Rattus norvegicus: one gene and its partner. The protein of the gene in region 2 interacts with the protein of the main gene of each other region in a biochemical or structural test. Links are inferred from orthologs where the notes say so. Each region holds a gene or a part of one and is shown on either strand. Other genes may lie near its edges.

The links.
Region 1: the proteins of Sp1 (region 2) and Ddx5 form a complex in vitro, tested with the Homo sapiens proteins (2 studies listed by BioGRID). The link is inferred for Rattus norvegicus from reciprocal best matches to the Homo sapiens genes SP1 and DDX5.

The regions. Positions count from the first base shown.
Region 1 is NC_086028.1:92,226,395-92,229,066, reverse strand, and holds part of Ddx5 (probable ATP-dependent RNA helicase DDX5), read left to right. Parts: intron 1-64; coding exon 65-130; intron 131-348; coding exon 349-490; intron 491-582; coding exon 583-743; intron 744-827; coding exon 828-1,000; intron 1,001-1,361; coding exon 1,362-1,472; intron 1,473-2,088; coding exon 2,089-2,150; intron 2,151-2,237; coding exon 2,238-2,297; intron 2,298-2,672. UniProt on the Homo sapiens protein: Involved in the alternative regulation of pre-mRNA splicing; its RNA helicase activity is necessary for increasing tau exon 10 inclusion and occurs in a RBM4-dependent manner. Binds to the tau pre-mRNA in the stem-loop region downstream of exon 10.
Region 2 is NC_086025.1:135,418,637-135,422,892, forward strand, and holds the start of Sp1 (transcription factor Sp1), read left to right. Parts: upstream 1-1,413; 5' UTR 1,414-1,451; coding exon 1,452-1,458; intron 1,459-1,602; exon of another isoform or gene 1,603-2,459; intron 2,460-2,800; coding exon 2,801-2,958; intron 2,959-3,239; coding exon 3,240-4,256. UniProt on the Homo sapiens protein: Transcription factor that can activate or repress transcription in response to physiological and pathological stimuli.

The sequences.
Region 1 (2,672 bases), on a different chromosome or scaffold from region 2:
CCCATAGATTTTTTTATTTAACTATTTTAATCCAATTTCAATAATTGTTTTTACTCTTCAATAGTATTTGCTGCCTGCCATTGTACACATAAACCACCAGCCATTCTTAGAGAGAGGTGATGGGCCTATTGTAAGTATCTTAAGTTTCCCACCCTATTTGCTAGAACTCCTTTGTTTTATATAGCTGGAAAGTGGGGCTGTCAGTATAAACTAGCCATTTAAAATTAGTATCCAAAGACAGTAAGTTGGATGGGCCATAATAGATAACTGCCACAGTACCCAACACATAAAGACGTAGTGGCATCTTAGTAAACTGGTTTATACTAAAAACACTTTTTTCAAACTTAGTGCTTGGTGCTGGCACCAACTCGAGAACTGGCACAGCAGGTGCAGCAGGTCGCTGCTGAATATTGTAGAGCTTGTCGCTTGAAGTCTACTTGCATCTATGGTGGTGCTCCCAAAGGACCGCAGATTCGTGATTTGGAGAGAGGTATATAACCATAGAGGGTGCTCTTTGACACTGGTGGAGATGAAAGTTTTACATATTGTAGTTATATCTCCTTTTTATTCATTTAATTAAAGGTGTGGAAATCTGTATTGCAACACCTGGAAGACTGATTGACTTTTTAGAGTGTGGGAAAACCAATCTGAGAAGAACAACTTACCTTGTCCTTGATGAAGCTGATAGGATGCTTGATATGGGCTTTGAACCCCAAATAAGGAAAATTGTGGATCAAATAAGAGTAAGTGGTCTCTATGTTACTGTAAAAATCAGTTCTAAGTTTGCTCTTAGTGTTGAAGTCTGACTTACTTCCCTAAATCTTCAGCCTGATAGGCAAACACTAATGTGGAGTGCAACTTGGCCAAAAGAAGTAAGACAGCTTGCTGAAGATTTCCTGAAAGACTATATTCATATCAATATTGGTGCACTGGAACTGAGTGCAAACCATAACATTCTTCAGATTGTGGATGTGTGTCATGATGTCGAAAAGGATGAAAAGTAAGTTTAAGTTAACAGAAAATCTTGCTTTTATACAAGAATAATCAGTTTTGAAAATTGTCTGAAAAATAACATTAAGTAGTGTTTTTAAATCAGAGTGTTAGGGATATAGCTTGGTGAGATAAAGGACTTGCTTGGCTTGCATGAAATGGGTTTTTGAACCTAGCCACTGCACAAGCATGCACAAAATGGTACATCAATCTTCATGAAAATCTGTTCTTCAGGGTATTGTGCATGTGACAGCTTTGTGGGATTGTTGTTCTGACTTACATTGATACATGGTCAATTGATTTAGCACAAAAACAGGGTTTGTGGTTTGTTTTTTAATCTTTTAAAAAATAGTGCTTTTCTTCATCTTTAGACTTATTCGTCTGATGGAAGAGATCATGAGTGAGAAGGAGAATAAAACCATTGTTTTTGTTGAAACCAAAAGAAGATGTGATGAACTTACCAGAAAAATGAGGAGAGATGGGTATGTGGTTTCCTGAAGCAAAGCAGACTTTAGGAAAGGGCAAAAGTATTTTGATGAGAAACAGTGTTCTTGGAATCTTGTACTATAATACAGGCATAATTGTGTGAATTATTTCTAGTGACAGTTGTAGTAGGCTCGGGGTTGTGATGTTTAGCCAAGATGGAAGTGCAGTGGGGGTGAGTATTAGTAAATACTTGACTGAGTATTAGTAAACACTTGACTGAGTATTAGTAAACACTTGACTGAGTATTAGTAAATACTTGACTGAGTATTAGTAAACACTTGACTGAGTATTAGTAAATACTTGACTGAGTATTAGTAAATACTTGACTGAGTATTAGTAAATACTTGACTGAGTATTAGTAAACACTTGACTGAGTATTAGTAAACACTTGACTGAGTATTAGTAAACACTTGACTGAGTATTAGTAAACACTTGACTGAGTATTAGTAAATACTTGACTGAGTATTAGTAAATACTTGACTATTAGTAAATACTTGACTGAGTATTAGTAAATACTTGACTGAGTATTAGTAAATACTTGACTGAGTATTAGTAAATACTTGACTGGAGTTTTAAGTTGGGTGTGCTGATGATAATCTAATTTTTATATAGGTGGCCTGCCATGGGCATCCATGGTGACAAGAGTCAACAGGAACGAGACTGGGTTCTAAATGGTATGTATTTCAAATAAGATGCGATTAGTTTGTGGCTTGATAAAATGATTTGCTTGCATTAATGATTATTCGTGTTTGTCTTTATAGAATTCAAACATGGAAAAGCTCCTATTCTGATTGCTACCGATGTGGCCTCCAGAGGGCTAGGTTAGTACAAAATCGAATTCATGGCTTGGTTTCCCAGAAGATCTCCATGTAGTTTTTTTTAAAGAAAGTTTATTGCTTTCTTTAACCTCTGCATTTTTTCTAAGTTTTTTTCACATAAAGGTGCAGTCTTTGTGGCAAGGCCTAGGCATGACAATCGGAGGACTCGAGGGGGATGGAGGACTAGTGATCGGCTGGCTGCTTCCAGTCGATTAGAGAGGTGAAAAGCTGAAAGTGTGCCAGTAATCTTCAAAGGGCAGAACATACCACCTCTGCCCCATAAACTGTTCTCTCCGGGGGAAAAAAATGGAAGTTACCTCACAGTTCACTGCCGTGGTATTTCATCTGTCCCATGCTTTGCATGATTGCCATGGTACA
Region 2 (4,256 bases):
ACTGTAGATAATGCAGTGACTATATTAATTCCAATTGTTAAACGTGGTGACAGCCGTCAATGACAAACTATTAAACAAGGAGAAAGGAGGCAAAATGGAGGCCAGAGATTGAGGTGCCTAGGGCAAATTCTCTAACCTTTTTGATTGCAAAAGTAGGTTACCGTGCTTTCTACTAGGAGGGTAAATTGAGTATTTTGAGAGCTTGGCTTCACGAAGTTCTCCAGAGTGCGTCATTCTCAAAGCCGAGTGATGGGAGTGAACCCTGCCTGGCCCGTGGTTTAGCGTGTCTGGGGCAGCTTAAGAAAATGGCGTTTGCTAGAGCTTCCCAAAAGCCTTCAGCTCAGTGGACTTGGGTTTTCGTGTGCCGTCACCAAGCTGTCGTCCCGCCCGCCGCCACAGGGCTTCCACCCACGGCGAGGGGGAGCCGCCCGCCCATCCCGGCAGGGGTGACATTCGAGAGGTGCTGTGTAGGAGCGGTGAAGGGAAAACTCGAACGGTCCCGGGTGACGCGACACCCTCGCCCTCGCGCGTCTCAGCGCTGACACTTGTGGAACTGCAAGGCTCCGCTAAAGCGTACCACCTAACGAGGAAAAGAAGCCTCTTGAGGAGGGCCAACATGGCGACCAACTCCACTTGGCACAGCCCGGTTCCCTCCTCATGAGGGGCGGCCCTCTAACGACTATTGGCCAAAGCTAGAGGCGGTGCCAGGCTGCTTTCGCTGCCTCATTGGCCTGAGTATCTGAGGGGGAAGCCTGTTCTCCTCTCCCCATTCCAAGTTCCAGCCTTCACCTTCTACTCGGCGTTTAATTGGCTGTTCATTCACGTCAATATGAGCCCTGTTCCGGTTCTTTTCAGTTGTTGTCCAATCAGAACTTTCTTAACTGCCCGCCTGAATTCTGATTGGTTTAGAAAGCTTGATCCTGTCCTATTCCGGCCTATTTCTTACTCTTCTCCTAAACGGACTTTGCCCAGGCATGCCCAAGATTCTGGTTGGTCGTTGTCCTGTCTTTCTTACCTAATCTCCTCCTATCCCCACCGCTCACGGAGCCCGCCTGGTGGTTGACTGGTTTCTCTGCAAGTCCATCTTCTCATCCCGCCCATCACCACTTCCCGAGTCTCTAATTGGTTGTTAAAACTGAGAGGGCGGCCTTTCTGGGCGGAAACCAGGCACGCAACTTGGTCTTACACGCCTCAGAGAGAGAGCGAGTCTTGCCATTGGGTAGACTGCCCGCCTTTCCTCTGCAAGTCCCTCCTTTCACCCTCCTTCATTGGGAGGGGCAGCAGATAAGGGGCGGGGACTAGGCCGGGCTTGTGGCGCGCTGCTCCCTCCTCCTTACCCCCCCCTCCCTGTCCGGTCCGGGTTCGCTTGCCTCGTCAGCGTCCGCGTTTTTCCCGGCCCCCCCCAACCCCCCCGGACAGGACCCCCTTGAGCTCGCCCCTCAGCTGCCACCATGAGCGGTAAGGATGAGTCCACTCCAAGCCTAGGGGTGGGAGGGGAGTGAGGGGGCGCGCGCGAGGGCCGACCGGGCGGTCCCCGCTGTGAGGGGGGGCGGGCGGGAGGCGGCGGCGGCGGCCTTGGTCCCGCCCGGGGCGGAGGGAAGGGAGGGAGAAGGGGCAGTGGCGGGGCCTCGGAGGAGGAGGGGGATGGGCTACCCGCCCCGGGGGAGGGGGCAGCCTGGCCTCGCCCGCCCCCTGCCCGCCCCGGCCACGGGGGACGGGCCTTACCCCCCACTACCCGGCCGGCCGCCTGAGGCTCCTCCTGTCGGGGGCTGGCGCCGCGGGGGCGGCCCGACCAGTGCAGGCCCCGCCTGGGCCAACCGCCTCCCCGGTCCGCCCTCCGGTCCCAGCCTGCTCCAGGCCCTCCCCCGCACCCCCGTAAATTTCCCTTCCCCCATCCGACCCGCCCTTGCCACGCCCCTAACCCCGAAACCGCCCCTTCCTTCTATGGCCCGGCCCCTCAGCCCCAAACCTGGGTTCTAAGCCCTAAACCATTTTAGCCTCTTACCTGCCCTCTTCAGATGTTTCCTCACCTCCACTTACAATTTACCCTTTCTCGGCCCCTTCCTGTTTTTGTTTACACTTAATCTGTCTCCATCTCTTTTAGTCCTAATTTTAGCCCACTTTCCATCCACCTATGTGTTGGGTCTCCTTTTCCTTCCAGGATGCTTTTTTGTTTTTCTTTTTGAGATAGGGTCTATGTGGTACTCGTAGTAACTCGAAGTTACTATGCAGACCTCAAACTTTTAGCTACCTAGTTGCCTGCCTCTTCCTCCTGAGTGCTGGGATTAGAGTGTGCCATCACTAGGCCCCACTTTTTTTTTTTTTTTTTTTTTAATTTCTGAGACACTGCTCTCAAATTCCCTCAAAAGTGCTGTTTGCATTGAGATCAGTTCTTACTCTGTAGGTCTGGCAGACCTAGAACCACCTGGCTCATCCTTCCAAGTCTTGGGATTATAGGTGTGAGTCACCATGCCTGGCTTCCAAAGCAATTTTTGAGTCATTTCTGGGGTTAATTTATGCCTGGGAAAATAGTGACCTGTCTTGGACACCATTAAGCCATGTGCCTGCTCTGCATGCCTATGGCTTTGGCATCTCAGTTTAATGTGTAACTGAGAATTTCTTTGAACTCTTGTCTCCACTTCCAAAATACTGGGATTTTAGGCCTACCACCATAACTAGCTGTATCTGACTAATACCTTTAAAAAAAAACATTTTATTAGTCATTGCTGGTGGTCAAAACGTTAATTTTAAATCTTAATGTTTTTCCCCCTCAACTTATTTGTTTTGTAATTATTTTTAGACCAAGATCACTCAATGGATGAAGTGACAGCTGTGAAGATTGAAAAAGGTGTTGGTGGCAATAACGGGGGTAGCGGGAACGGTGGTGGTGCCGCCTTTTCTCAGACTCGAAGCAGCAGCACAGGCAGTAGCAGCAGCAGTGGTGGCGGAGGAGGGCAGGTGAGTGATCAAAGATGGGGAAGGTATTGAAAGGGTATAAGTATTCTTAGAAACCTCCTTAACCAAAAACTCTGGGAGAAAGTACAGTAGGGAAGTACACACAGAAAGATAGGTGATCTAGAGGGTCCCCAAATAGGAAAGTTGGAACAGTACACAGAAGTTAGCATTTTGTTTCTGGTTTTTGCTCTTTATATGCCTGCATTGTTGCTGTTTGTCTGTTGAATACTGCCCCCTAGGCCAGCTATTGGGTGCCACTAACTCCTTTCCTCTCTTCTGGCCAGGAATCCCAGCCATCTCCTTTGGCTCTGCTGGCAGCAACCTGCAGCAGAATTGAGTCACCCAATGAGAACAGCAACAACTCCCAGGGTCCGAGTCAGTCAGGGGGCACAGGTGAACTTGACCTCACAGCCACACAACTTTCACAGGGTGCCAATGGCTGGCAGATCATCTCTTCCTCCTCTGGGGCTACCCCTACCTCAAAGGAACAGAGTGGCAACAGTACCAATGGCAGCAATGGCAGTGAGTCTTCCAAGAACCGCACAGTCTCTGGTGGGCAGTATGTTGTGGCTGCTACCCCCAACTTACAGAACCAGCAAGTTCTGACAGGTCTACCTGGAGTAATGCCTAATATTCAGTATCAAGTAATCCCACAGTTCCAGACTGTTGATGGGCAACAGCTGCAGTTTGCTGCCACTGGGGCCCAAGTGCAGCAGGATGGTTCTGGTCAAATACAGATCATACCAGGTGCAAATCAACAGATCATCACAAATAGAGGAAGTGGGGGCAACATTATTGCTGCTATGCCAAATCTACTCCAGCAAGCTGTCCCCCTCCAAGGCCTTGCTAATAATGTGCTCTCAGGACAGACTCAGTATGTGACCAATGTACCAGTGGCCCTGAATGGGAACATCACCTTGCTACCTGTCAACAGCGTTTCTGCAGCTACCCTGACTCCCAGCTCTCAGGCAGGCACGATCAGCAGCTCTGGATCCCAGGAGAGTGGCTCACAGCCTGTCACCTCAGGGACTGCCATCAGTTCTGCCAGCTTGGTGTCATCACAAGCCAGTTCCAGCTCCTTTTTCACCAATGCCAACAGCTATTCAACAACTACCACCACCAGCAACATGGGAATTATGAACTTTACCAGCAGCGGATCATCAGGGACTAGTTCTCAAGGCCAGACATCCCAGAGAGTTGGTGGGCTGCAAGGGTCTGATTCTCTAAACATCCAGCAGAACCAGACATCAGGAGGATCACTGCAAGGAAGTCAGCAAAAAGAGGGAGAGCAAAGTCAGCAG